Linked DNA regions of Lonchura striata. The protein of the gene in region 1 interacts with the protein of each later gene in a pairwise test. Links are inferred from orthologs where the notes say so. Each region holds a gene or a part of one and is shown on either strand. Other genes may lie near its edges. The genes, in order: SHTN1 and FABP3.

Evidence for each region.
Region 2: the proteins of SHTN1 (region 1) and FABP3 interact in binary tests that used the Homo sapiens proteins (3 or more experiments, as listed by UniProt). The two-hybrid records come from large-scale screens. The link is inferred for Lonchura striata from reciprocal best matches to the Homo sapiens genes SHTN1 and FABP3.

What each region holds. Positions count from the first base shown.
Region 1 is NC_134609.1:26,093,304-26,108,323, forward strand, and holds the start of SHTN1 (shootin-1), read right to left. Parts: upstream 7,390-15,020; 5' UTR 7,309-7,389; coding exon 7,251-7,308; intron 572-7,250; coding exon 519-571; intron 1-518. UniProt on the Homo sapiens protein: Involved in the generation of internal asymmetric signals required for neuronal polarization and neurite outgrowth.
Region 2 is NC_134628.1:6,710,552-6,726,027, forward strand, and holds FABP3 (fatty acid-binding protein, heart), read left to right. Parts: upstream 1-9,720; 5' UTR 9,721-9,742; coding exon 9,743-9,923; intron 9,924-10,577; coding exon 10,578-10,750; intron 10,751-12,767; coding exon 12,768-12,869; intron 12,870-13,039; coding exon 13,040-13,093; 3' UTR 13,094-13,324; downstream 13,325-15,476. Other genes in the region: cAMP-dependent protein kinase inhibitor beta-like, read left to right, coding at 3,718-3,862, 4,392-4,474; ZCCHC17 (zinc finger CCHC domain-containing protein 17), read right to left, coding at 14,553-14,717. UniProt on the Homo sapiens protein: FABPs are thought to play a role in the intracellular transport of long-chain fatty acids and their acyl-CoA esters.

The DNA.
Region 1 (15,020 bases):
AAACTAACAGATTTCTTACATCTTCAGCTCACTCGTACTGGAGAAAGGAGAATTTTGCTTACAATACAGTGTAGCACTGACTCCCCTGCATTCCTCCCTACCTTCAGAAATCATACTCCTACATTATGAATATTCAGAAGCTGAGGGAAGTTGTTGTCTTTTCTTTCTTTCCAGTAATTAAGTCCCATGTGCAAATGAAGTCATAATAAAACAAGGCTTACATCAAAGAGAAACAATTTTATCAGAACACGTGACTTGGTCTATGCTCCCACTGTTATCACGGGCAAACCTGGTAAAGCAGCAATCACTTATAATATATTTACAGGAACTTTTCTAGAGTGGGACAGCCAGAATAGTTGTGAGAGTTGCATTCATTGCTCCATAAAACACATAGGTACAAGTAATATTAATATTAAGTAACAGTGAACTCAAAAAAGCAGTCAACAATCTGCCACAGTCCACAAGGTATTCTGGTACTTAGCATTTTAGTATTAAATTTATAATTGATTCATACAAACCTCTTCCTTTGTTTTCTTATTTTCTGCTCTAAGCTCTTCATATTCGCCAATAGCTACACAAGGGGAAAAAAAGTAAAAAAGTTAATATAGCAGTACCTCTCCCCAAATTAGCTCTCCATTTGATTAAATTGAAAACTCTTGTTTCTCTATGCAGATTTCTTAAATAACATGGATCATAAACTTCATTAATAGCCTATTAATATCCTATGAACTGGATAGCCTCCTAAAATTGAAGCAATTAGGAAGTGTCTGAAAAAGGTGGTAGCTCCCAAAACAATCAATTACTGATCAATGTAGAGCTAAACAACCTTATTGAATGAGTTCAAAAATTACAAGGTGAATAGGCTGGTTTGCAGTGACCATTTTAAACCCAGACTGGCTCAGGTTACAGATCTATCCTAGAAAGAATGGTTGGTGTGATATATGGGTACCTGCAGAGTAGCTGATCCGTACACCAGTAAAACCAAGGTCTCCCATCAATCCCTTTACTTTGTCCCCACTTCTTATGTACCCAAAATTCCTACCCACCACCCACACCCAAGAAGCAGAAAAAGTAAAAAAACCAACAAAAAACCAACAGGTAGATGAACAAACAAGAAAAAACAGTGGTGAAATAATGTACTTCCTACAAAGGAGCACAAAGGCTGTGCCTCTTAAGAGGTCACTGCTCCACTGCCAAGCTATTCCCTGTTCCCCTAAAGAAAATATGAGAAGAGACTTCTACCATCCAGATGCAAGAACAGGAATGAAAACTGTACCAACAGATGTAATTCAAGTTTCTTCACACTTGAAAACTGCTCGTGTTAGCTCGCCTTTAAGGCAAAGTTATTCTTGACATTCTGTACTTTACAAATAACTGAAAAATGTAAATACAGATTTGCTCCACCCTCGACAGCTCTCTTCATATGCCTCATGAACAGAGAACTCTGACTCATTAGCCCTGAAGGAGAAAATAACAGAATATTCTGGGCTATAGCTCTTAACCTACCCAAAATGTATTCTCAGCCAACCCTGCTCTTTCTTACAGTAAAAGAGTAAAACCCCAAAACAGCCAACATGAGTGAACACAGCATGTTCCTTCACAACAGTGGTCTCACTTACTCACCAGCTACTCACTCCCCAGCTCAGCTGGCCAGAAGGGACTGTCTGGAAACATATCAATGCCCTTAACCAGCATTAAATTAAGCAGGTAACTTTGTATGCAGAAGGTCCTTTAATTATAAATTTTGATTTTCAGTTGTGGACCTGTGTCTCCTGAACCTGAATTTACTAACAAAACGTAAGTATTACCTAAATTAGATGTTTTATATATTAGGTACTTGCTATGGCTGAATAGGACTTATTACTAAAACAGGGCCATAAGGGTAGAAGTATATCATGATTATAATTCACAATGAACAACAGGAAAGACACCTTCATTTACACAGAGTGAGATGATGACTCTTCCTACTCTTTTTATTAAAAAATTAATCAACCCCTTTCCTAAAGCTGCATATTAAAAAACACAAATCAAAGAAAAAAACACCAAACTTTAAAAATGTTACATGCATATACTTCAATATTTATATTGCAAACCAGGGCAGCCAATTGAGAGTCAACTGAGAGCCATTCCATGCCAAATCAGTAAGTAATGCCACTTCAGGATTTAAAATCTACTTATTTACTAAAAAAAATAAGTAGAGCTGCCCAAGGAAGCAAGTGTCACTCCACTGTTTTTGCTTCCATACCATGGACCAGGCATGTCTTTACTGGTACAGGCAGGAGAAAGAGCTGACAGTGCAAGAAGTCCTCTGCTCCAGATGAAACAAGCTAGCCCAATTAAGTCATATTTTGTTGGTAGAAGTAAATTATCACCTGGCTTTTTGGATGTATCATTAGAGACAGAATTACCCCTGTCAGCACCAGAAGATTTAATGGAATTGCTGCCACCACATTGCTCCTCCCAATATACCTGAAATAGGAAGAATCAAGCCAAGAATGCTGTGAAAAATCTTGAACAACAGTGGCCTCCTACATGTACAACATGCACAAGACTGTGAAGTGCTGTTAAAAGGATAAAAAAAAGCCAAAAGGGGTCATTTTTTCCCTTGTTCACCATTCTAGGCTCAAAGGTCTCTTCTGCTAAATCCAACTTATCAGTATTTCAACAGGATTCAGCAAGGCACCAGCAGCACCAGCCAGGTACAAACTATTTTCAAATACTGCAATTATTTTCAAATAATGCCTTGGGTGGCACTTTTAATCCCTCCTTCTGTTAAGGGGAATCTATGGGACAGCATTACACTCAGCACCTTACAATGACTCCAAATCTTCACACACAGTACACAAACCTATTATCAGGCCTAAAGCTTACATGGGCAAACCAAGCTTTGGTCAGGTATCAGTTGCATTTGCTGAAACCAGCACAGCTAAATTATCTTACAGTCCTTTAAAAAATAAATAAAAATCACCTGGGTAAGTACGCAAAGATAAGTGTTAGGTACAAACACTGTAAGTCAGCTCCTGCATCTGTGTTCCCATATGCCTTAATTTTATTAAAATCTGTGAAAGTGTGTACAAGTAAATTGAATTAAACCCTGAATTTGCATCAAGTCTTAGAGCTTCCTTGAAAAAACAGGGCAGGAAAACTAAACACACCACTGCCTGATAAAGACCAACTACTAAGTTCACACCGAAAGATTTCCCTTCACAAGTTTCTGAAAAAAAAATAGGGTTCAATACAAGAAACTGAAGTGGGAAAAACATCTGACCTCTAATACATTCAAGCAGGATGGGTTCTGCTTGGGAATAATGGCTGCTGTGTATTAAGATATACACACAGGTACACAGGGAACAAATAAATTATAGAGCAGGTGACTATAGAAGGGAAGACAGCAGCCAAGAAGGAGTCCTAAGAAATTCCACTGGCCATAAAAATTAACCATCTGCCACAAAGTAGATTGAATTTGTCAGACCACATTAGGAGCTTGTCAATAGCATACATTTAAAAGGTACTGCTCTGAGATATTGCTGTCAGGTTGGCAGGCTAGTCTGTTCCTAAGAAGATACATGTATAAGATGTTCCCTTATTGAAAGGTGCTGACAGTATAAGAAAAAGTTTTTAGTGATCAAATAGATCATAATTTAAAAAAAAGTATACAGACGCATAGTGCTTAGGACTAGAGATTGGAAATCATCGCACTTCATCAAATCCAGCCAACAAACACAGAGCAAAGTTAGACCTTTCAAAAATGAAGGGAAAAATCCAGGCAATATAAATACTTTTAGTATATGTGTGGTTAGCAGCAATTGTTAACCACTGTACTTTAGCAAAGTGACCAGAAATGTGGCTATGACAGTGGCAGTGCTGAAGTGTAATTTTACTTAGTTTATAACTCCAGACACTTTGACCACTGGCTCCTGTTTTCAGCTGAACAAAAAAGGGACTATTGCAGAAGCTGACTCTGTCTTTAAGGGCAAGGTACCAGCAGTACCAATAAAACCAAAGACAAACAAGGCAATCTTCCAGACAGGTAATCAACTATTGTTATGATTCAGCTGTTAGTCAAGTTTGCTACCATTCCTCAGGTTCTAAAACCAACCACTAATAATACAAAGTTTTACCAATTTGCTTTTTTTTTTCTTTTTTTAGCCATAGGAATATAAGGGCCAGTTGAATAGAAGTGTGCATCACTGGAAACATCACTTAAAATACAGTGAGGCAATAGTAATATTTATAGAGAGACAGCTTTATTAAACCATGACATTTCAGAAAACTATTTGAGGATTAAAACTCAAACAACACTTTTAAGTCCAAAATACCATCAATACAGAGATCTTGTTTCTTCATGATGCTCACCTTAAACTCAGTAATGGAGCAAGCTGAAGAATGATCAGTATCAGGTATCTGAGTCTAACACACAGGACTTGGAAAATTCAGCATGGGTGAAAGATAAGAGTATCTTGCACACAGATGGCTTCAGTGTCCTTTTTGCTGCTCAGAGCTTTGCCAAACAGCCAAGCAGCTTTGCCCAAGCCCCAGAGAGCTTCACAGCTGCCACTGAGAATTGAGTGGGCAGCTACAAAACACCTGCCTCAGGTTCAGTCTCCCGACCTTGGTGAGGAGAGGTAAAAACAGCAGTTGGAATGTGACAGCAGCCAGCCACAGACGCTGCTACCCCACCTACGGCACCACTTCTCAGACACTGCATTTACCTGGTGCCAGGCAACCCTCACAAGACTAAAAAAGCATATCCTGAAAAAGAAACCAAGCCAACAGCTACTGAATGAATGTCTTCTGAAACCTTTCCAAACCCATTTGCATTTTGCAGAAATCTGACTACACATCAGAATGTTACAAAAACCTGAAGACTTACACCACTCTGAAAAAATAAAGATAGGACGAGTCTGTGTAGCCATTACCCCAGATATTCAGATCCAGCAGATCCTTCCACCAACTGCATTTATTTCCAAGCAAATACTGATATCTGCATTTGGAAGCAATAAACAAGAAAATTAAGAGTCTATGTTCAACAGACCATCCTAAAATAACCTGAGGGAAGTTGGTAGTATCTAAAATAGCCTTGTTTTGCTATCAATAAGAATGGAGGGGACACTATTCCAAATTACAGTACATAAAGAGTTAGCAAATTTACTTATCTACAGTAACAATATCTTTTATTTTACAATTAGAATAATTTCATTTATCTCATTACCTTTTCACTGCTTGAGTTTTTCACTCTAGGAATCAGACTCAGTCAACTACTGATTTGCGCTACCATATTTTTTTGCATAGTTTTAGATGTAAAACAGAAAAGTATTTTAATTTTTTTCTACTAGGTAACTTTTTGCCTACATAAAACAACTTTCTCACCAGCCACAGCATCACAAAAGCATATGTTAGCCTAACAACACCTCACTAAAACTCCTGTGTTTAAGGATGAGCATCCACCAAGAACAGAGCCTTATAGGACTGGGTCTGCCAAGTACAGCTTCTATTTCAACAGCTCAGGTGATCTGGGACAGCCAGTCCTCAAGTTACAGTAACTTTCCTTTGCACTAATTCCTCTAGTCCAGTAAAATTTCCTTAGACATTAAAGGATACCCAGCACATTGGAGGAGAAGACTTTCAGAAAGCAGAACTGAAGCCCTGCTCTAAACAATTTCAACAGGCTCAGTTTTCTCTAAAGAATAACACAAGCTTCTCTTTTTTGCAACTGGTCATTGTCATTTTAACAAATGCTCTCTTGGAGGCAACAGTACTAGAGGGAAGCAGTCAGTCAGTATGAGAACCAGATTTTGAGCCTTAGTTTCAGATTCCCAAAACGCTCAGCTGTAAGATTATCATTTTACACCTAATGCATCCTTCCAAAGGAGAATCTATCTTGTGTCAATAGTAATCAGGAATTTCCTAAGCTGAGCGTACAGGAAAAACCCAAAAAGTGACAAAGCAGGTCATAAATAGTCCATTAATACTCAAATGAAACGCGGTTAGGAAAAGCTTCTGCTGTACAGCAAAAGTGATGGAGCACATTTTTGGTCAGAATGAATGACAGAAAAATGGGCACTGATCACACCCCTGTAATTTCACTCTTTTACACAACTTTGCCCAATAGTTCCTTTCCAAATTGCCCCTCCCTGGCTCGAGGGAGATGAGGAAAGCTCAGCTGTGGGAACTGCCACATGTGAATTCCAGCGTGGCTCCTTCACACCTCCTGCACATGCAGCTGTGGCACAGGAGGCAACACGGACTGCTTGGTGCACGGAAGATGTTCACAATTCAAACAGATCTTCAAACATTTGAATGTGCCCACCTGACTAACTAAGGCTGCAGCTTTGCTGGGTCAACCTGGCTGAGAGGCAGACTGACCACAGGGGAGTTCAGAGTGGCTTATGAGCACCCCAGCTCTTTTCCATGTGCATTCTTGCAGAGGATTAAATATTACAGTGCTCTGGTTTCTGAGTCAGACTATGCACTCCTGAAACGGAACATGCTGAAATTCTGGCCTTTCCTACTAAAGCACCGAAAGTGACTCACACACGAACCAAAGCAGCCCAGGATGCCACAGAAACCGAGAGCGTATCAGCACAGCCCTGAGCCATCAGCGGGAAGTTTGCCCGCTGATGGCGACTGGGACCGCAGGACGTGGACGGTCGGGCCAGGATCGGACCCTGCAGCACGGAGCGGGAGATGGGACAGGCTGACAGGCTCGGCACGGCCTGGCCCAGCTCCAGGTCAGGCCGAGCTGCTCGGACGGACAGCGAGGCGGACAGCCTGCCAGCCCTGGAGCTGTCCGGTCCCGCGGGCTCGGGGCTCCCCGCGCCCACGGCCCATGTGCGGCACCGCCACCGCCATCGGCCCCCGCGACGGCCGCGCTGGCAGCGCCGCTCCAGCAGCCGTGCTGGAAAATCCCTCGGAGATCACCGGGACCAGCCCATCTGCAGCCACAGCGGGCACCTGCGGGGCGGCCAGGCGGCCGCGGCGGCGCCCACCTGGGGAAGAGCCAACACGTTCCGCTGCCCTGCTTTATTCCATTAAGGCTTTTATTATCTCCCTCTGCACGGGCAGGACAAGGGGCCTGGCAGCGGGGTCGGGGACGCCCAGGCCGCGCCCGCCGCGCCGCGCCCCGTCCCCCCGGTGGGCGCGGAGCCCTCGCCCCGCGGCGGCCGCGCTCCGCCGGCCGAGCCCGGGCCCGCGGCGGAGCGGGGGGAGCCGCTTTCTCCAGCGCCGGAGGCGGCGCCGCCCGCCCCTACCTTGGTCCTTCAGGCTGGCGAGGAGCTCCAGCTGCTTCTCCTCGTCGGAGCTGTTCATCCTGCCCCGCCGCTGCCGCGCTGCGCTCCGCCCCGGCGAGCGCGGCTTCACCTGGCAGCGGGCGGGCGGCGGCGGCCGCGGCCCCGGGGCGCGGCGGGCGCGGCGAGCGGCCCGGCCCGCTCCGCTCTGCACATGCCCAGACTCCCGCGGCGCCCCAGTGAGCATGTGCGGGTGCGGGCACGGCGGCCCGGCCCGGCCGCTCCGCCGGGCGGGACGCGCCGGGAGCGGCGTCCCGGCTGCGCGGGGAGCCCCGGAGCCGCTCGGCTGGAACGGGCTCCTGAGGTCACCCAGCGCAGCCTGTGACCCAGCGCATCCGTGCCACCAGGCGCCACGTTCAGGCTTTCTTTGGACGCCTCCAGGGATGGTGACTCCACCACATCCCTGGGCAGCCCATTCCAATGTCTAACGACCCCTTCTGTGAAGAAATTCTTTCTAATGTCCAACCTACACCTCCCCTGCCTTAAGACTGTGCCCCCTTCTCCTGTCACTGGTTTCCTGGGAGCAGAACCTGACCCCCATCTGGCTCCAACCTCTTTTCAGGGAAATGTAGAGTGAGAAGGTCTCCCTGGAGCATCCCCCTGGCTGAATACCCCTGCTCCCTCAACTTCTCCTCATGGGACATGTGCTCCTGACCCTCCAGTAGTTCGTTGCCCTTCCGTGGATTTGCTCCGTCACCTCAATGTCCTTCCTGAATCGGGGGGCTCGGAATTAGACACAGTGCTTACGGTGTGGCCTGACCAGTGCCGAGAACAGGGCAAGCATCACTTCCCTGGGCCTGCTGCCCTGCTCCCTGGCAGACCAGGACGCCTTCTTGGCTGCAGCACGGCCAGGTCCATTCCCCTGGGCCGCTTGCCAGCCGCCCTCCGCAGCGTTTTACCCCAGCAGGGCTGGTGTGGCCCAAGTGCAGCGCTGCCCTTGGCCTTGCTGAGCCTCGTGCTGTTGCTCTCGGCCCATCGATCCAGCCTGTCCAGGTCCTGCTGCAGACCCCAGGCAAGGTCTCCTACAGCATCAGTCCCCCATGAGCTGGGATTAAGCCCTCCTGCTCCACTCCCACCCAGCTGCTGCTGTGTTGCTGCATTTTTAATGTGCCCTTTTGCACAGCTAGAATAGCACAGCTTTCCACTGAGGAGCCCTGACCCGGAGAGTGGTGGGACATTAAATGGTTGTTTGAGTGCCTTGATACAAAGAAAGCTAAAAGGGTTTTAAAAACCCCCGGAAGCTTTTTGCATTAGTGTTTGTAAGAATCCATGGGAAAACAGCTGCATTCCAGTGCCCAGCACTTGAAGAAAACTTTGGTAGAACATCAGGGCAGAGGGCTTTGACAGAGACCTGCTGTGCTCACCTCAGAAGAACACACTGCTATTCTCTGATGATCCCTTTCTGAAAAAGGAGGAGATCCAGTGATAATCTCTGTATTGAAATTGTTACCCTACCCAGCTTACACCAAGGCTGACAGTAAGTGCAATGCAGAGTTTGTCTCTGTTTATATATTTTGCTGAGCTCCAGCAGCAGTCAGCTGAGCAGCAGCTATCTCCAGACTGGCATGGGCAAAGGTACACTTCATATGCCTCCCTCCCTCCCTCCTTCTTTGCAAACACTCATCAACCCCTGTGGCAGGCAGGTCAGAGCACACAGATGTGGCAACATTAGTTAGAAATATCAGAGTGAAAGGCAAAAGACCCTACTACAAACAGTTGCTCGGTCCTCCTGCCTCCTTCCTCCCGTACAGTATCCTCTAGTTTCCCCATTTTTTTCTAGTAAGCCTTTAAAACATGGAGAGACTCCATATGGATGATTTACAGCACTTTCTGTCCCACAGGTAGTTAATGACACGTGTAACATCCTGGAGAGAAGCCATAAGAACCATGTGAGCTGTGCTGATGTCTCAGAAGCATGGTATGCCTCCTGTAAGGCAAAAGAGGCAAGTTTATAAAAAAATAAGTCAGCTTATTTTGAATTAGTCAGCACAAAACACCTTTAACTGTATTAAATGCAAGGTTATGAATTTGTGCTCCGAGTCATATGCAAAGAATGGGAAATGACCTTGGAAAACGAAGGCTCTGCATAGGAAGTGGGAGGCAAAGTGCAAGCAATGATGTAAGTGCTGTTGGAAAGTTACTGCTGCAAAAGAATGGGGGTATGCTGACAGCAGGGTAAAAAGTTTCTTCTGTAACACTGACAGGACCAAAATAAATTTTTGGTATCCAGGTCTTCAAAAACAAAAAAAAAAAAGAAAAAAATTATAAAATTAATTAATTTGGTACAAAAAATTTAAGGAGAAAGCACAAGAGAAAAAATATTACCCAAGGTCTGAGGGGAGTGCTTTGCAACGAGAGACCTCAAACCCTTGATCTTTTTAATTGAGCAAAAAGGAAACAAATTATTTGGTTTTGGCAGTTTCAATATTTGAGGGCTTTTCAGCCTAGTGGAAAAGAGTCAACCAGAATGTGTCTGTAACCAGAAGCTGAACGTAAAAGCTACAAATAAAGACACACATCAATAAATGCCTCCATTTGAAGGAACACAGAGGTCCTATTTAGGTCCTTGGAGTTCTGGGATGACCTTGATTTTGAATAGCCCCCACTTTAAGTCAGAGCAGTTTTGCCAGTGTTTTACTTTTTAGTGTCCTTTCTTGGGCTGCCTTTTTGGCTTCCCTTCAGCCACAGGTCTCCTTCCAAGTCCCTCTTCCCTCTGCTGATATCATTCCCTTTCATTTCCAAACCAATTTCCTTTATGCAGTGTAATAGCAGGATTTGCAAAAGAGTCATTGTAGGGTTGCTTATCCCTGCCCGGTGCCAAGGCACCAGACATTTTCATCCTCCAACAATGTTCTGTCTGTTGCATGCAGTCAGAACAGGGCATAAAATCCCTTTGATATCTGCAAAGGCTGCAAGTCCACTCTTCCATTATTTTATTTATTTACTCAAGTTAAAGTAATATGTCCACATCAAAAGGATTCACTTCCATAATTTCTATATTAGGGTTTCATAATTTTTCTTTTTGTTTATATTCACTTATATTTACATCCAGTTACAATGCCTTGAAAAGTCAGCATTAAAAACAAGGATCTCCTTGTTTCAGACCATGCTGATTGCAGGAGTAGGATGGCTGTCACTGCAGTAGTATTATTTATTATTACTATAGTAGTAGTAGTAATAATAATATTAGCCAATTGTTGCTAATATTTTTCTAAGTTAGGGGATAGCTGAAAAGTTAACTATATTACTAATAATCTATGTTCTTTGGGAGACCAAAATTCAGATGGATTCATCATACCTCTAGATTTCACCAGCTCATAGTTGCAATGAATGAGAATCTGTCTGCTGTTCTCAACTACACAGTAGCCACTAATCATATGAAGAAGGATAATTACAGAAAAAAAAAAAAAAGAAGAAGAAAGAAAACAAAAAATACTGGAAGTTCTAACTTTGTCTTACTTTGGATAGATCTTAGTGAGATGTTGGACCCCTCCTGTTATTCTGACTAATGCTTGAACTTGATGCAAATGATCAGTACCCAACAGGTGTGTGCAACTCAGGCTCTTGTACCTTCTTGCAGATAATTTTTTCAACTTTTTTCATGGTTCATCTCTTGAATGAGACTTTGATGAGTAGTCAGATGATGGACTTGAAAATATTAATGACAACCTGGAGTACGTTGCAGTTCATTAGTCACATAAGTCCTAAATTAATGGGATTTAGAGTGAAGACCTAAGAATTCATAACATCATAGAGTTTTTGAAATTCAAAATTCTGAATAATAAAATTTAAAACAATTATTATGTGTACGAACAATTTTGTCCTGGGACTACCTAGAGACAGTAAATGTGAACTTTATCTATAAAATAAATGGGCATACAGAAGTAAAGATTTTGTTACCCTATCAAATAGATACAACAGTCAGGAATTTGATGTGGTTGTTATCTATCTATCTGTCTATCTATCTATCTATCTATCTATCTATCTATCTATCTATCTAAAATATGCATATTCCCATTCCTCATTTTGGGATAAAATTTCCTCAGACCTTCTAATGGATACCAAATCAGCTTTACCTCTCCCTCATAAATAAAGCCTCAATATCTGCAACGACAAAGAGCAAGGAAGGGAGCAGTGGGCCCCTCTGGCTGGGAGAGAAAGGCATTCCCTTGGGAAGCAGTGCAGTCCATCAGCCCCTGCAAAGCCTGAAGTGACTCCTGAGGTTCATCACCCTCCTGTTGAGCAGAGCTACCTGGTGGAAAGAGCTGTGACTGCAGGCTGAGCATACCCTCAGGGCACGACCACAGCCATATGTTTACTACTTTCAGAACAGACAGATTTTATGAGGAGTGGGGGGACAAGATAAAACAAACTACATAATCACTGCACAGATCAACGACTATCAATAAACCGGAAAAAAAAAGTAGAAATGGCAGTAGCTATTTGAGCATCTAATTAACAGGATGAATAAGACTAAGCAGCTTGTCTTGCTGAGGTAATGTATATTTTTCCATCAAACCAATCAGTGCTGAATAATGGCCAGCATAATATATCAGGGTAAATATAAGCACTTCTTGTCTCCCTAGGACAGAAACTAACTAATCAGCACACATTCAAACTGGAGTATAAGTATGATTAAAGATAAAAACCCTCAGATAATACAGATTCATTTGAAAAACTTTAACCATTTGATTAGAGACACTAGCATGATCTTTGCTAGTCGTCTCCATCTAGGATGGCAAACATGTTTGTCTCTGCACAGCAAAAAGGCACAAATTGATTGGGAGATAAATCAGAGGAAGATTAAGTATTTATCATGGCATTTATAAATACTCTAATTGTACCATAATTGACAATCCTGGATATTAAATTTACAACTGTAAACTATAACTAGGCAAATTAAATCTACTTACCCTTCCCAGCAGTTCATTGTATTTTATGGATGCTCACCTCATACAATTTGGTTGTAATGGGTGCATCCTCTACCTTCAAGCACAGATGGGAGAGGTGTGAACATCTGCCAGCACCTGCATGGACACACACTTAGAGATAACAAATAGCTCACTAGTGAGATCTCCCATGCTTCCAGCCTGTCAGAGGCAAATACCATGCTTTTGGAGAGGTAGAAATTGAGTCACTTTTCAGACCCCTTTCCCAAAGTGGGGGACCCTGTTGCACCAGTCTCACTGGGGAGGTTGTTGTTGCAGTGGCTTTTATGAGTTCCTCTGGGGTTCTTTGCTTTGTTCTGCAGCAATTTGGATAACTGGGCTGCCAGAGCAAAGAATAAGAGAGGTTATATAGGAATCTTTAAATCACTAGGTGTTATGTGATGGTGAATGACAATAGCAAAAATGTTCCTTTTCTTTTTTTCCCCAGGAGGAAGGGATGATCTATTAAAAAAAAAAAAAAAACCAAAAACAAAAAAAAAAAAAAAACACCAAAAAAACCACAACAACTTTAGCCATACAGGATCAGATATCTCTATGCTCATAATTTCATGGTGAAACATGGACATAATTTGATTTTGGTGTGGGCTGATGTTTGTGATGGGAGAAATCTTAGGGAAACAGCACACTGCAAGCTGATGAAGTGTCACTGAATACAAAAACTTATTCCTTAGTAAGTTATTCCTGGAGCTTGCAGTGCTATTTCTTTAATAAATAACTAACATAATGTCAAACTAAATAATAAAATCAGCTAGTTAGGAACTTAAATACATTACTATACAACAGTCAAGGTCATTTGGTACTGATCATAAGCATCTTAAAAGACCACTCATTATGCATAGCTTTTGAATTCAATGCCACTGTTATTTTGACTACATCTTTATTATGCTGATCTGCAAAGTTGCCATCATAATTAATTTCTACAGAAAGGGCAAGTCATTTCACTTTTATTAAGCAATTTTGCAGCTTATGAAAAATAACCCATTGCCCTGCTTCCTCAACACACTTTCCATCTAGTATTTATGTGCAACTGGAGCCACTTTGTCTGTCTCTCTCTCCCTCTCAGTTGAACTTTGCATACATCTCAACAGCAGTTGATGCTTTTGTTCCTGTTGCAGAATTGTCCCTTTTCTGGTGCTTGCACTACCTCCATTTTTCCACATAATTAGGGTCAGATGCTAGTTCCCTGAATTAAAAGGCATTTGGGCTCTCCTTCCAGCAAGCCTTTCTACTCCCTTCTTGCAAAACAAAGCTGTCACATGCATTCTTTAGCTGGTGTTGGATTACATTGCACCACTTGACCACACTTATTACACTAAGATAATTATGCCAGGTATTTTGCTGATAAAAATCACCATGGCGTTATTGTGTGCCGTGGAACTCTATCAGTTCATGTCAGCAGAAAATTGGATTCTTTGTAGGAATTTAGGGAAAAATCTCCAAGTTGCCCATAAGGATTCTCACCAGCTTAACCAGCATTTCTGGAAGTCCTTCAACAATGCAGAAGTAAAGGAACCAAGGAGTAAGCAAATTTATTTCCATAAAAACACCCCACAAACTTTCTGCCACTTGCCCAACTCTACATCATCAGGTATCAGACAAATACATCCTTTGCAACATTTGATTTTGCTGATTTGCAGTGCCACAGGCCAGCTCCTACAGCTGACAAAACCACTGCTCCTGGTTGTGCTATAAAAAGAGATGAAGAAATTCTGTAATGAACCTTGAACTAGAAATTCTGAGAAGCTTATAAAAGGCTGCTCAGGAAGGAGAAAAAAAACCTGCTCTCAGTGGAGTTTTGCTGGTACTAGACTTGACCCAAAATGTTAAAATTTAAAAGAACTCCTTGCTCTTGGAACCCATGCAGGACAATTCATTTATGTGAGGCTGAGCCATGGGTCAGCTGGACCTGGGGTTTGCCCTGTGGCTTCTCAGCATTGAATGGCCTTTCAAAAAGCTGCAAGTTCCCACCAGAGTTTGAAACCAAGAATCACAGACATTGAAAATGGAATAAGTGTGCCCATGGAGCCTTTTGGTCAACAGGACACTCCAGTGTGTCTTCTCTATCAAAGCAGGTGATACAATACCTCCTAAGAGTGACATTGAGGGAAAACATCCTGCTTGTCATGCTGGTTCCCATCTTGAGTTTAAAATTATTCCCAGTTCACCTCATTTTAACAAAACAAATTCCTTGGATGAAAGGATATACTACTTCTATCACCAGAAGTAGCATATATGATATTCTCACTCTGCCAGTGCTTTTGATTTGTATTCTTTTTTCTACATTACGGTTTTTTAATTAAAATAGATGGCAAATCAGGCATTAGCCACATCTCTGGGTCTGATCAGTGAGTTATGTGCTGGCTTAATTGCATTACTTTTAACTGACTTGCTTCACATTCCAAGTATCAAGCATATCATTACTCATATATAATAAATATACAATAAATATACAATAAGTATAATAAAATACTCAAAAGCTATGTGAAAATTCTGCTTTTATGAGGTAGTCTCAGAGAAGAAAGCTATTTCCCACATAGTACAAAACTAGTGCAATAAAACAATCTAATAAATCAGAGTGTTCTCACAAGGTGAGTTGTTTTGTCAGTTGAGTACTTGAAATGCTATCTAATGTCTCTGTGGAAATGGCTGAAAGAAACAACAGATGTCTCAGATTTTTGCCTTTCATGTCTTATTAAAATCAAGCAAAGATGGAAAAGCAAACAAAGGGTTACTCATAATTTTTCTCTCCCTGGAAGAAGTTCCTACGAACATCACCTACAAGAAG
Region 2 (15,476 bases), on another chromosome or scaffold:
ACGCGCGTGCCGTGTGCTCCCACCGCCACACGCGGCGGTGTGTGCCCAAACACCCGGGGACACCCGGGGATGTCACACGTGTCCCGTGCCAGGCTCGGGGCTCCGCGGGCGCTGCTTGGCACGGGCGGTGCCAGCTGAGGGGTGAGGGACGGCACCTGGAGCGGGTGCGGGGTGGGACGAGCTCTGGGACAGGAGTGACACGGCTGTGGCACTGCCAGCCTGGGCGTGCCACGCGTGCACACACAGTGACGGGGGTGTCACACGGGCACAGACTGCCACGGAGTGCCAGACATGCACAGATGTGTGACAAAGGGTGCCACACATGCACAGATGTGTGACAAGGAGTGCCACACATGCACAGATGTGCGACAAAGGGTGCCACACTGTCACATAGATGTGTCAGGGGGTGCCACATGTGCAGACACAGTGACACGGGGTGTCACACGGCGTGGCAGGGGGTGTCACACGGTCACAGACTGCCACGGAGTGCCACACATGCACAGATGTGTGACAAAGGGTGCCACACATGCACAGATGTGTGACAAGGAGTGCCACACATGCACAGATGTGTGACAAAGGGTGCCTCACATGCACATAGGTGTGACAAAGAGTGCCACACTGTCACATAGGTGTGACAGGGAGTTCCACGTGTGCAGACACAGTGACAGACATAGTGTGGCAAGGGGTGTCACACGGGCACAGACTGCCAGGGAGTGCCACACATGCACAGATGTGTGACAAGGAGTGCCACACTGTCACACAGACATGTCAGGGGGTGCCACAGTGTGTCATGGGGTGCCACACATGCACACAGGTGACGGGGAATGTCACACATGCACACACCTGTACAGCCACATGGAACAGCCCAGCCAGAGGTGACACACATATACACACACACCTGTGACAATGCGAACACACGTGACAATTCACACACATGTGACAATTCACACATACGTGACACTGCACAAACCTGTGACACTGCACGCCTGTGACAATGCAAACACACGTGACAATTCACACACATGTGACAATTCACACTCGTGACAATTCACACACACGTGACACTGCACACACCTGTGACACTGCACACCTTTGACAATGCACACACCTGTGACAATGCACACACCTGTGACACTGCACACCTGTGACAATGCACACACCTGTGACAATTCATACCTGTGACACAGCACACATGTGACACTGCACATACCTGTGAAAATTCACACACATGTCACACTATACACACCTGTGATACTGCACACACACATGACAATGCACACACATGTGACAATTCTTCACACACCTGTGATAATGTACACGCACACACCTGTGACAATGCACACGCCTGTGACAATGCACACACCTATGACAATGCACACGCCTGTGACAATGCACACACATACAACAATGCACATGCCTGTGACAATGCACACACGTGTGACAATGCACACGCCTGTGACAATGCACACACATACAACAATGCACATGCCTGTGACAATGCACACGCCTGTGACAATGCACATGCCTGTGCCAATGCACACGCCTGTGACAATGCACACACGTGTGACAATGCACACACGTGTGACAATGCACACGCCTGTGACAATGCACACACCTATGACAATGCACACGCCTGTGACAATGCACACACGTGTGACAATGCACACACATATGACAATGCACATGCCTGTGACAATGCACACACGTGTGACAATGCACACACGTGTGACAATGCACACACCTGTGACAATGCACACACATACAACAATGCACATGCCTGTGACAATGCACACGCCTGTGACAATGCACACGCCTGTGCCAATGAACACGCCTGTGACAATGCACAGACGTGTGACAATGCACACACGTGTGACAATGCACACGCCTGTGCTGGAGCAGTGCAGGTGGCTCCTGCGGACAATGGCCGCGCAGGTGTACAGGGAACCTTTGTCCCCACCCCTGCCTTTGTCACTGCCAGCCCGGCCCGTGCCTCAGTTTCCCCCCTGAGCAGCACCCCGGTCCTGCCCCTCATGGCACAGCCACCCCAGCACTGATCACTAATTAACAAATCACTAATCACCTCCCGGGTTAATCATTTCTTTCTCCCCCTCCCCGCAGCTGTGGCCACCCCTCCCGTGCACACAGAGCCTGCACCCAAGGACCTCGGCTCATCCTCCCTGCAGTGACTCCCAGCGGGATTCCCAGTGACTCCCAGTGACCCCCAGTGACTCCCAGTGACTCCCAGCGGGGATTCCCAGTGACTCCCAGTGACTCCCAGTGACTCCCAGAACTAGCTGCCAGCAGGAATTCCCAGCGGACCACCAGTGAGTTCACCCCCCACTGCTACCAGCTTGGGGACAGCAGTCCCAGTGCTTCCACCAACATGTGGCACGGAGGGGATGGGGCTGCTGGGGTGGTGGTCTGGGGTCCCTGTGCTCTGAGGGGGGTGGAGGGGATGGTGGGGGGGGGTTCCTTGTCCTTGCCAAGTCATGTGCCACCTCTGTGCCACCCCTTTGTCACCCTTGTGCCACCCCTGTGCCATCCCCCACCCCTGTGCCACTCCCACCTCCCATGGCAAAAGCTCAGAGTGTTTCCAGAGCTGAGCAAACACCTCGAGAAGGTCACAGCAGCACGGGAAACTACATGGCTCCATGGCAGTTGGATTTTCCTGGTTCTTGAGGCTTCCCAGGAGTGCCCCCACCCACCCAGGGCACGCCACCATTGCTGCTGCCTGCCTGGCTCAGCAAGAGCCGTTCTCCAAGGGAGACAGGCTGTCCCCAGGTTGGGGACTCCATGAAGTTCCCTGGCAGTGCTGGCTCGGCCTCCCTCCATTTTACCTCTGCATCCCCATCCATCATCCATCCGTCCATCATCCATCCGTCCATCATCCATCCGTCCATCCATCCATCCATCCATCATCCATCCATCCTTCCATCTTCCATCCATCATCCATCCATTCATCCATCCATCCATCATCCATCCATCCATCCATCCATCCATCCATCCATCCATCCATCTGTCCATCATCCATCCATCCATCCATCATCCATCCATCCATCCATCCATCCATCCATCCACCCATCCATCATCCATCCATCCATCATCCATCCATCATCCATCCATCATCCATCCATCCATCATCCATCCATCCATCTTCCATCCATCCATCTTCCATCCATCATCCATCCATCATCCATCCATCCATCATCCATCCATCCATCCATCCATCATCCATCCATCCATCCCTCCATCCCCACCCACCCCCACGGACGAGGCTCAGGGTGCTGTGGGTGCTCCCCTGGGGACACATTCTGGTTTCCCCCCAGACTCGCTCCCTGCTCCGTGTCCCCCGGCCCCATTGGTGACCCCTGCTCTGCCTCCCGCAGGTCAGAGCCGAGGGGCCGCAGCCAGGACGGATCCCTGTCCCCCGCGGTGTCCCTCCCCCGGGCACGGGGCAGAGGCGGTGCCAGGCCAGGCTGGAGGCTGCCCGGTAAGGCTGCCCGGGCTGGGGGAGTGGGACCTGGGAGCGCCTCGCTCCAGCTGCAGTGACCAGCGGGGTCCGGGGCAGCAGGGTGGCCCTGCCTCCATTCCCGTCGGGCAGAGGCAGTGCAGGGGGGAGCAGAGGGCACCGGAGCACCCGGCCCGGAGCAGAGCCGGCTCCCTTTAGCTCGCTGTGCTCCGGGGGTGACAGAGGGGACATCTCTCCCCAGGGTTAGCATGACCGAGGTGGAACCCGTGCTGGACTTCGCATCCTCCAGCAGGACGGGCCGGCGCAATGCCCTGCCCGACATCCTGGGCTCGCCTGCCGGCGTCAGCCCCGCCGACCTGCCCCTCAAACTGGCCGAGATGTCCCTGAGCGCAGGTGGGTGACCAGGGGATGGGGGGGATGTGGGGTGAGCCGGGACCGGGGTTCCCGAGTTCATCCCGTTCTTAGGGACAAGGACACTGAGGGGCTGGACCGTGTCCAGGGAAGGGAACAGAGCTGGAGCCCCAGGAGAGGCTGAGGGAGCTGGGAAGGGGCTGGAGAATCCCTGAGGGAGCTGGGAAGGGGCTCAGCCTGGAGAAAAGGAGGCTCAGGGGGACCTTGTGGCTCTCACAGCTCCTGACAGGAGGGGACAGCCGGGGGGTCGGGCTCTGCTCCAGGAACAGGGACAGGAGGAGAGGGAACGGCCATGGAAGGTCCAGGTTGGATATGGGGGGACATTTCTCTATGGAAAGGGTGGTCAGGCATTGGAACTGCCCAGGGAGGTTTGGAGTGCCCATCCCTGGTCACTGGGCTGAGGACAAGGGGTTATCGGGCACAGGGTTGACTCGATGCTCTCGGAGCACTTTTCCAGCCTCCATGATTGTGTGATTCCCATCCCGTGGCCCTCTCCCGTCTCTCCCGGCAGGCAGTGCCCAGGACATGCAGTCGCCCTCAGCGGAGGTGCCCTCCCCGCAGCCGCCCAGCCCCGAGCTGAAGGACACGTCCTAACCCCGCCGGGGACACGGCTGAGCGGCGGAGGAAGGAGGAGGCGGCGGGGCACCAGCCCGGCTTTCCTGGCACCGCCGGAGCCCGCGGGGCACCGGCCCGGCTTTCCTGGCACCGCCGGAGCCCGCCGGGATCCCCTCGGTGCTGCCGCAGCGAGGCCCTGGAGCTCCCCCGGCCATGGGGGAGCCGCGCGTGGCGGGGACGCGGAGGGGACACGGAGGGGACCTGCCGTGACCAAGGGGCGACTCCCACCCACGCCCTGGGCCAGGACTCGGGGGGAGGGGGTGTTTTGGCCTCCCCGGGGGGAGGAATATTTTTCTTCTGGGGCATTTGGCGGAGCCGAGCGCGGGGGGGGTCCCGGGGGGGCCCTCCTGGCCGCAGGAGCAGCCACGGGTGTTTCTTGCTGAGTGTGGTGTTCACTGTGATGTTTTTGGGTACCACCTCGTCTCCTGACCTTTCTTCTGGGTGACTCAGGAGCCACTCCCAGTTTTTGGGGGGTGAGGTGGGGAAACACAACCCGAGACCCCCCCAGCCCTTAGGTAAAGCTCCCGGGTTGCCAGCAGGTCTCTGAGGGATCCCACTGGGGAGCAGGGCACCCCAGCGTGGTCCCCACTCCCGGGGATGGGGTGCCGGTGAGTTTGGGGGTGGGGAGCAGGGCGATGCTGTTTGGAGCAGCCCCAGCCCCCCGAGCCAGGTCACCCACTGTCCCCACGCCGGATCCTCTCCCGCAGCCCCGGGCGGGGCCAGCCGGGTCCTGCGGCCTTTGGGGATGCGGGGGACACAGAGTGCGGCTTTCCGTGCTCCCCAAACCCTCTGCTTCTGCCAGAGGGCGGGATGGGACCCTCCTGCCCGGGCACTGGAGGACTCCTCTGCCGGCTCTGGGGGTCGCTGGCCGGAGCCGGGCAGGGTGGTTGGAGATGGAGCTGGATTGATCCCGTCCCATCCCTCCATCCCATCCCGTCCCGGACGGTCACCTGTAGCTGTCGCTGTGGGACCAGCGAAGGCATCCCCAGCCCAGGGCCCCTCTGGCCGCCCCCGCGGACCAGGAGAGCCCCACGGGCGGGGCCACCGTCCCCAGCACCCCACGGCCACCATCGGGCTCCCGGGCACCTCGCGTGGAGCGCAGTCCTGGACGGGAGGGAGGGCTGGCACGTGCAGGGGCATCCCTGGTGTGGGTACCCGTGTGTTCGGGCATCCGCGGGCGTGGGCGCCCATTTACACGGGCATTCGTGGGCATGGGAGCCCGAGTGCGTGGGCATCCCTGTGCGTGGGCATCCCTGTGCGTGGGCATCCCTGTGCGTGCGCACTCATTTACATTGTCATGGGCTGCCATGCGTGTGTGCATCCATGTGCAGGGTCATGGGCACCCCCACACACGGGCATCGCTGTGTGGGGGCATCTGTGTGCTCATGGGCACTCGTTTGTATGGGCATTCATGGGCATGGAGTCCCATGTGTGTGTGCACATCCGTGTGTGTGTGCATCCATTTGTGTGTGTGTGCAGGGACATAGCTGTGTGTGTGTGCATCTGTATGTGTGTGTGTGCATCCGTGTGTGTGTGCATCCGTGTGTGTGTGCATCCATGTGTGTGTGCATCCATTTGTGTGTGTGTGCAGGGACATAGCTGTGTGTGTATGTGCATCCGTGTGTGTGCACATCCATGTGTGTGTGCATCCAATTGTGTGTGTGTGCAGGGACATAGCTATGTGTGTGTGTGCATCTGTATGTGTGTGTGTGCATCCGTTTGTGTGTGCATCCATGTGTGTGCATCCATGTGTGTGTGTGCAGGGATATCTGTGTGTGTGTGCATCCGTGTGTGTGTGCAACCATTTGTGTGTGTGTGCGTGCATCCATTTGTGTGTGTGTGCAGGGACATAGCTGTGTGTGTGTGTGCATCTGTATGTGTGTGTGTGCATCCGTTTGTGTGTGCATCCATGTGTGTGCATCCGTGTGTGTGTGTGCAGGGGTATCTGTGTGTGTGTGCATCCGTGTGTGTGTGCATCCACTTGTGTGTGTGTGCAGGGATATCTGTGTGTGTGTGTGCATCCGTGTATGTGTACATCCATGTGTGTGTGCATGTGCAGGGACATATCTCTGTGTGTGCACATCCATATGTGTGCATCCGTGTGTGTGTGTGCAGGGACATATCTGTGTGTGTGTGTGTGTGTGCATCCATGTGTCTGTGCATCCGTGTATGTGTGCATCCATTAGTGTGATCTGTGCGTGTGCATCCAAGTGTGTGCATCCATTTATGTATGTGTGTCCTTGTACAGGGGCATCTGTCTGTGTGTGCATCCGTGTGTGTGTGCATCCGTGTGTGTGTGCATCCGTGTGTGTGTGTGCATCCGTGTGTGTGTGCATCCATGTGTGTGTGCATCCTTGTGTGTATGCATCCGTGTGTGTGAATGCATCCATGTGTGTGTGCACCCATGTGTGTGCCCATGTGTGTGTGCACCCCTGTGTGTGTGCACCCATGTGTGTGTTCATGGGCACCCCCATGATGGGAATTCATGTGTGTGGGCATCTGTGTGGATGTGCAGGAGCATCGGTGTGCACGTGCACATCAGTGTGACCCGTGTGCATGTGGGTGTCCATGGGCATGCATGTGCATATGCACCTCTGTGCATGGATATCCGTGTGCGTGGTGATCCATGGTCATGGCATCTGTGTGTATGGACTTCATATACACCCACATGTGTGTGAACCCATGTGTGTGTGCACCTGTGAGAATGTGCATCCATGAGGGTGTGTATCCGTGTGTGTGTGTGCATCCATGTGTGTGAACCCATGTGTGTGTGCACCTGTGAGAATGTGCATCCATGAGGGTGTGTATCCGTGTGTGTGTGCATCCATGTGTGTGAACCCAAGTGTGTGTGTGCATCCGTGTGTGTGTGCATGCATTGCATCCATATGCATGGGCATCTGTGTGCATGGGGATCCATGCACACGTGCAGGGGCACTGCTGTGTGTGTGCATCTGTGTGCATGTGCAGGGATATCTGTGTGTGTGTGTGTGTGTGCATTTGTGTGGGTGTCTGTGCACACGTGCAGTGGATATCAATGTGTGCATGTGTGCATCCGTGGTCACAGACACTCCTTTACATGAGCATTTATGGGCATGAGCTCCTGTGCATGCATCTGTGTGTGTGTGTGTGTGTGTGTGCGTGTGTGTGTGTGTGTGTGTGTGTGTGTGTGTGTGTGCAGGGACATCTGTGTGTGTGTGCATCTCTCTCTGTGTGTGCACATCTGTGCGTGTGTGCATGCATCCATGTGTGTGTGCACATGTAGAGATATCGCTGTGTGTGTCTGTGCATGTGCAGGAGTATCTCTGTGTGTGTGTGCATCTGTGTGGGTGTGTGCATCCATGTGTGTGTGCATGTGCAGAGATATCTGTGTGTGTGCATCTGTGTGGGTGTGTGCACCCATGTGTGTGTGCATGTGCAGAGATATCTGTGTGTGTGCATCTGTGTGGGTGTGTGCATCCATGTGTCTGTGCATGTGCAGGGATATCTGTGTGTGTGCATCTGTGTGGGTGTGTGCATCCATGTGTCTGTGCATGTGCAGGGATATCTGTGTGTGTGTCCCTGTCAGTGTGTGAACCTGTCAATGGCTGTCCCTATACTGGGGTGTCCCTGTTCCCAGGTGTCCCCGTGCCCGGGTGTCCCTGTGCCCAGGTGTCCCTATATTGGGGTGTCCCCGTGCCCGGGTGTCCCTATATTGGGGTGTCCCTGTGCCCGGGTGTCCCCGTGCCCGGGTGTCGCTGTCAGTGGGTATCCCCGTGCCCGGGTGTCCCTATATTGGGGTGTCCCCGTGCCAGGGTGTCCCTATATTGGGGTGTCCCTATGCCCGGGTGTCCCTGTGCCCGGGTGTCGCTGTCAGTGGGTGTCCCCGTGCCCGGGTGTCCCTATATTGGGGTGTCCCTGTGCCCGGGTGTCCCTGTGCCCGGGTGTCCCTATATTGGGGTGTCCCCGTGCCAGGGCAGCTGTTCCTGTCAATGTCCCCATCTCCTGGTCCCGTTGTGTAAAGGGGACAGGACAGTGCGGGTCTGGGGCACTGCCACCCAGGTGAGGGGACAGAGGACAGTCCTTGCCCTCGGTGTCCCCCCGGCCGTGGGGGCTCTGTGTCCCTGGGGAATGATTTGTCCCTGTGACCCTGGCGAGCAGCGCCCTGCCCGTGTCCCAGGCGGGACAGGGACACGCATCCCACGGGACGAGTCCTGTGCCCCCAGGGCACGAGGTGAGGGGTCCTGCTCGGTGGCAGTGCCAGCAGGAGGACGCCGAACACGAGCTCTGGCTATTTTTGGGTGTCTGCGATGTCACACAGAGGCCAGAGACAGGGAGAAAGTGTCCCCGGTCCCTCCTGGCCCTGGTGCCTGTGACCCCCAAGTCCCCAAGGCAAGGGGACACGCTGCAGCACCGGGCTCAGGGACACCTGAGCCCCCAGCTGGGTCCCTCCGCGGCCCGGGGTGGGGGCAGGAGCGGGCACCGTCCCCGGGGCTCCAGGGGACACCGGAGCCCACGGCCAGGGGTGACCCACCCACGCCGGGAAGGGGCTGGGGATGCGCTGGAGCCCAAAGCACGGGGACATGGGGGCACCTGCTGGGGGTCCCACAGCCCCGTCTGTGCTTGTCCCCCGCGTCCCCCCGGCACCCGAAGCACCACTGGCGGCACACGCGTGTGTTCCCACGCACACAGGGAGGGAACAGGGTCACACACGTGCCCACACACACAGGCACACCGAGCTGGGACCGGGTCACGCGTCCCCACAGACACGCGGAATTGAGGGGGTGTCTCACATGTCCCCACACTCTCCTGGAGTCCCCACACGTATTCCCACACACCTCCCCGGTGCTCCCTGCTTCCAGTGCCTCAGTTTCCCCAACTCAGCTCCCCTATCCCCGTGCCTCAGTTTCCCCAGCTCAGCTCCCCTATCCCCGCCACTCGTGTCCCTAAAGGGCATCACCGCCGTCGCTGTCCCCACGCCCTGACCGTGCCCAGGGGCAGCAACTGCCCCTCCCCACGCACCCACGGGACCACCTGGGCTGGGCACAGACCCCCCTCGCCCACCTCAGCGCCCCCCTACCCCGCAGCCCGTCCCCGCCGTGCCCCGCAGAGCCCGGGCACGGCTCAGGGCACAAGTGCCCCTCTCGCTGTGCCCACCCCTGCCCCGGGGCGGGGGGCGGTGGCCGGGGGCGGGTGGCCGGGCCGGGGTGGCCGCTGGCAGCGCTGCCGGGGAGTATTTCTGGAGCGCGTTCTGCTCTTTCCAATCATGTGATGAGGACATTATTTAAGGCGGCCGCGGGGCCGGAGCAGCTGCAGGCGGTGCCACGCTCGCAGCCGGCCGGAGCCCCGCGCGTCTGCGGCCCCCCGCGCCCCCTCGCCATGGTCGACGCCTTCGTGGGCACCTGGAAGCTGGTGGACACCAACAATTTCGATGAGTACATGAAAGCGCTGGGTGAGTGGGCGCGGCTGAGAGCGGATTCGGGGTCACGTCACCTCTTTTTCACCCCTTTTTTTATTTCCTATACCCCCCCACCCCAATTTGCCTGGTGAACCCCTGCCTCCCCACGGGGTTCTGTGGGCGGTGGAGAAGTCGCTGCTGCCTCCGTGGGTGGTTTAGAGGGGCTCTGGGGTTTTGTGCACGTGGGGCTGGGCAGGGTGAGGGGGCTCGGGCTGGTGAGGGGGTGAAGGGTCGCGTCCTTCCCGTGCCCACTCCAGGGGCAGCCTTTGGCAGAGGGTGGAGGGATGAGATGCCCCCCGTGGGTGCTGGGGGCCGCTCAGGAACCCCCCAGCCTTTCCCAGCCCCCAAGCCCCCCATCAGCCAGCTCCAGCATGGTCGGGGGAGTCCCCCAGCCCAGCCCAGGGCAGGGAATGGGGGACAGACAGCAGCCCCCCCCTCACGCAGCTCAGGGGCTGCTCCCGGATCCATCCCTCCCTGCACCCCCTCTCTGCTCCTGCCCCGGGGGCGCACGGAGCCCCCCAGGACCGTGAGCGGGCAGCGGTTTTGGGGTTCACCCTCCACCAGCACGGGGAGGAAGAGCTCGGGGGTGATGCCGGGGCTGGGTGGCCGCTTCGTGCCCCTCCACACGCCCTCCCCCTCGCTCCCCAGGCGTGGGCTTCGCCACGCGGCAGGTGGCCGGCTTCACCAAGCCCACCACCATCATCGAGCTGGACGGCGACAAGGTCACCGTGAAGACCCAGAGCACCTTCAAGAACACCGAGATCACCTTCAAGCTGGGCGAGGAGTTCGACGAGACCACGGCGGACGACAGGCACGTCAAGGTGAGCCCCCCGCCCCGCCCCGCGGCACCCCCGAAAGGCTCTGTGGGCTCCGGGGGATCGCCCCGCCAGCCCGGGGCTCCGGGGCTCCATCCTGGCTGTCTGTGCGAGGGGAGCGGCCCCGTGCCCGCCGGGGCTGCTGCTCCAGCCCGCTCCCGGCCGGGCACCCCCGGAGCCGTGGTGCAGCGGGGCTCTCCCGGGCACGACGGAGCTGCCGGGAAGGTTGTGCAAGAGCCGGGCTGGCGAGTGCCAGCTTGCTCAAGAGGAGGCCGTGGTGGGGTGGTGGGAAGTGTCCCTGCTCCGGGGGTAGAGGGGCACCACCCCTGTTTTTTGAGCCCACTCCCCTCCGCCTGCCCTCCCAAGCAGGCAGCGCTGCAGGGATGCAGCACCGGGGCAATCCCAGCTGCTCGGTGCCGCTCCAAGGGCTCGTCCCAGGGCTGCGGGTCCCTGGGGAGCTCAAAACTTCCCAGACCAAGCTGCTCCTCTCTGTAAGAGCAAGGGAAAAAAATCACCTGAGAGAGAGCGGTGCCTTTCCTGGCCTCTCCCAGCCTGCAGGGACATTTTCCCTCGAAGGAGTGGCCCAGCTCCTGATTTTTCCTAGATTCCAGCTGCACGGAGCAGCTCTATGCCCCACACCCAGCCCGGGGGGCACCTCAGCAGGAACCTGGGGGCTCTTCGGCCACAAACCCCTTTCCTGGCCCCAGAGCAGGAAGCACAAAGGGTTGGGCTCGAGTGAGGCTGGGGGAAGGGGCTGAGTGTGAGGTCCCTCTCTGCCGCGGAGCTGCTGGAAGCTGTTCAAGCAGCAGGAACGTGTGACCGGCCCGGAGCTGCTGCCACGGCCCGGGACGTGCCCTTGGGGTGTCCCTGGGCCGGGCCAGAGGGCACGTGATGGGTCAGCGGGGCCAGGACGGCTGCCGAGGCACGGGGCTGGACGGGATGGGGCACTGGGGTCAGCCTTGGGGTGCGGGGAGTTGTGGGGCACCCGGGATAGCTTGGAATGGTTTGGGTTGGAACGGACCCTAAAGTTCATCCAGTGCCGCCCCTGCCATGGCAGGGACACCTTCCAGGTCCCAGGCTGCTCCCAGCCCTGTCCAGCCCGGCCTTGGGCACTGCCAGGGATCCAGGGGCAGCCACAGCTGCTCTGGGCACCCTGTGCCAGCGCCTCGCCCCTTCCCAGGGAGGAATTTCTCCCCGGTGCTCCATCCATCCCTGCCCTCTGGCTGTGGGGCACCCACACCCTGCAAGTACCCAAACTTTTGGACAGTTGAGCAGTGGGGGGACACAGCTATGGGGTAATCGGGGTCTGAGGGCGCACCCAGAGCCTTGTGGGGATGCGGGGCTGGGGCACACCTGAGCTCTGGACAGACCCAAGCCCTGGGGCAGCCCCTGGCTCCGGAGGGGCTGGGTGGGGGGCACAGGGCAGGATGGGGACAGGCAGGCGGTGCCAGCGCTGGTGCCAGCGCCTGTCCCGGCACAACCCCGCCGTGCGTGCCGCGGCCGGCGCTGTCACAGTAACCTTGGCACGGGCCGGCTCCCGGGGCTGAGTCAGCAGCGGCGCTCTGCAAACAGCAGCGCGGCGAGCTCAGGCGCGTCTGCCGCAGCAGCCGCTCCAAGGAGCCCCGGCGGGCCCTGCAGGGCAGGGACGCTTCGGCTCCAAGCCCGACCGCTGCCCCGCCTGCCTGGTCCCCGCCGGAGCCGGCCAGCCGCGCTCGGGAGCGCGAACGGGCCAGGTCCGGGTGGCCCCGGAGCGGGACGTGGCCCGGGGCACGGAGGGCACGGTGACCCTGCCGGTGGCACTGGGGTCACAGGGGAGCAGCCAGGCCGTGAGCCAGTGCAGATCCAGGCGGGCTGAGCGCGGCTGACCCAGCCAGGCGGGGATGGTGCCAGGTGGGCATCCCCACAGGGGCACCCCCAGGCTGATCCCGAGCCCTGCGGGGCTCCAGGGCCCCCTCTGAGGAATAAACCCCCTCGGAGCCCAGAAACCCGGAAAGTAACCGTGGCTCTGAATCCCTCCCTGCAGTCCTTGGTCACACTGGATGGAGGCAAACTCATCCACGTGCAGAAGTGGGAGGGGAAGGAGACGTCGCTGGTCCGAGAGCTGAAGGATGGGAAATTGGTTCTGGTAAGGAACTGGTTTTATTCTGACGTTCCCACCTCAGAACTGGTTTTATTCTGATGTTCCCACCTCAGAACTGGTTTTATTCTGAGGCTCCTGCCTCAGAAATGGTTTGAAGTGGGTCAGCTCAGAGCTAGGCAAAGCAGCACTAACTCCTGCCACCTCTCTGCCCCCAGACTCTCACCATGGGCAACGTGGTCTCCACCCGCACCTACGAGAAGGCGACATAGACGCTGTCCCAGGTCCCCTGCCTGTCACCCGGTGCCACATTGTCCCCACCTCCTGGCCCCGTGCCAGGCACGGCTTCGGTGGGCTCGGAGCCGCTGCCCCAGCGGGGCCGCCCCTGCCCCCGCCTGCAGAGGCTCCGGGGCCTCGGGTGGTGGTTTCGTGTTTGTTGTTGGGTTCTTTTTTAATTGATAGTGGGAAAAGTCACATGGAAAAATAATAAAGGTGTTGTTACAGCTCTGTGCTCGGTTTTCTCGGGAAAAGGCGTTTTTGGCACATGCCCACCCACCCACAGGGGTGGCAGGGAGGGGGTTAATGGCCAGTGGGCCCAGTAGCCCATCCCAGCCTCTTCTCCACGCTGCAGAATCACTTCTGGCTGTGCTCTCCGGGAATGCCCCTCCCAGCCAGGCCGGTTCCCCAGGGCAGGAGGGAGCCCCACAGCCCCAGCCAGAGGGGCAGGCTCCCCTGGAACAAAGGTGCCGAGCTCTCGGTGCCGGATTTGGGAAGGGAAATGGCCCCAAAGGGGGATGCAGCCATGGGGAGCTGGAGCGGGAAGCACAGGGAGGAAAAAGGAGAAGGGGAGGCTGCATCAGCAGTCCCAGCTCTCCTGGCACACCAAGAGCTGCCAGTGCCAGCTCCCTGCAGAGCCAGAGGCCGCAGGGGCGGCTCCACATCTGTCCCAGCAGGGCCGAGCTGCTCCTGGCACCTTCCCCCTGCCATCCCTTCCCCTGACCTTCAGCTCCAGTTACAAGATTTATGCTCCCTCCAGAAGGCTTCTCCTTACGGGTTACCTCATCACACACCCCCCTTTTCCACCCCAGGGAACCTCAGGAAGCAGCCAGAACTTCCCAAAAAAAACCCTTTCCCATATCCTGCACACAGCCAGCGTTGTTCTCCCCCTGCCCAAGATGAAGTGTGGAGGGTAGAGAAGAAAGGAGCTGGTACAAAGTACAGCTGGAGAGAGCAGAGATTTATTTTCCATCCCTTTCCAAGGCAGCAAACACTCCACAGTCCATGTTTACTCCCAGTATCTCCACTCCCCCACTTGCTCCTTGCTCCTCCACTCCTGGTGTTTGCAGAGACCGAGGGAGCCGGGGCAGCTTTGCAGCCCAGAGCTCTGTGCCAGGGGGTTGTGGTCCCACCAAACCCTGTCCCCAGCACGGCGTGGGCCTGGCTCTGCAGGGCTGCTGTCCCCCAGCTGCCACAGGAGCTGACACCAGGCTGTGGCACAGCAGGGGTGTCCTGCAGGGTGTCATCAGCCTGTGCTGGCAGCAGCTGTGGGACAAAGGGGCAGCCCCATCCCAAGCTGACAGGGGACAGCTCGTAGCCAGGTCAACACCTGTAACACCACATGCTACCTGGAGAAGGAAAGTCCTTGTCTCTGGAGCAGAGAGCTGCTGATCCTGCTGGCTGCACCAGGGAACGGCCCTGGCAGCAGCCCAGCCTGCCCTGCTCACCCCAGGGCTACTTCTTGTGCTTCTTCTTCTTCTTCTTGGGAGCCTTGCTGGCTTTCCCGGAGTGCTTGGGCCTCTTGCTGGAGGGCTGAGCTCCATCACTGTCCGAGGCTGAGCTGTCCGAGTCCGACTCCGAGGACTGCTTGGCCTTGTGCTTCTTCCTCTTCTTCTTCTCCTAGGAAAACATGGGAAAAGCCAGGGAATGTGGGAATGCTCTCCCTGGTGCTCACCAGGCCAGCAGGAGCCTTTCTGGGCCTGCTCCTGCATGGAAAGGGCACGGTGCCCCAGGAGGCAGGAGTTAATCACCACTGCCAGCCCTCAGCTGCAGGGGCAGGGCACAGAGCAGGGCAGGAATGGGAGCAGGAGGGCAACAATGTGGCAATCCAAGGCTGGAAAACACCGGATAATTCATGGAAGGAGAGTTCTTGCTCTCATTCCATTATTTCATTGCTCTTTATTAGTAAAAGTTGGAAGGATGAGGCTTTTTTGCCCAAAAATTCGGTTTCTAAACCAGCCATGAGCAACAGCCCTGGAGCCCCAGCCCACCACCAGCCCCCAGCCTGCCAGGACAGGAGCACTGGAGCACCCAAACACTCCCAGCTCCAGGCAGGAGAGCCCAGTGGAGCAGCAGGACGAGGTCAGTGCCCTCTTGCAAGATGTGGCACTTTGCACAACCTCCCTAAAGATTTCACCACCCTCTCCTCTTTCCCAACTTCCTCTGTGCCCCTTCCTGCTCCTCAATTTCCTCTGCACCCCTTTGTGCTCCCCAACTTCCCACTGCACCCCAATTTCTCCTGAACCCCATCCTGCTCATCTTCCCATTGCACCTTGTCCTGCTCCCCAGTTTCCTCTGCACCCCATCCTGAAGATTCCTTCTTACACTCCTCATTCCCAGTTTTCCTTGAACGCCCTCCTGCTCCCAAACTTCTCTTCC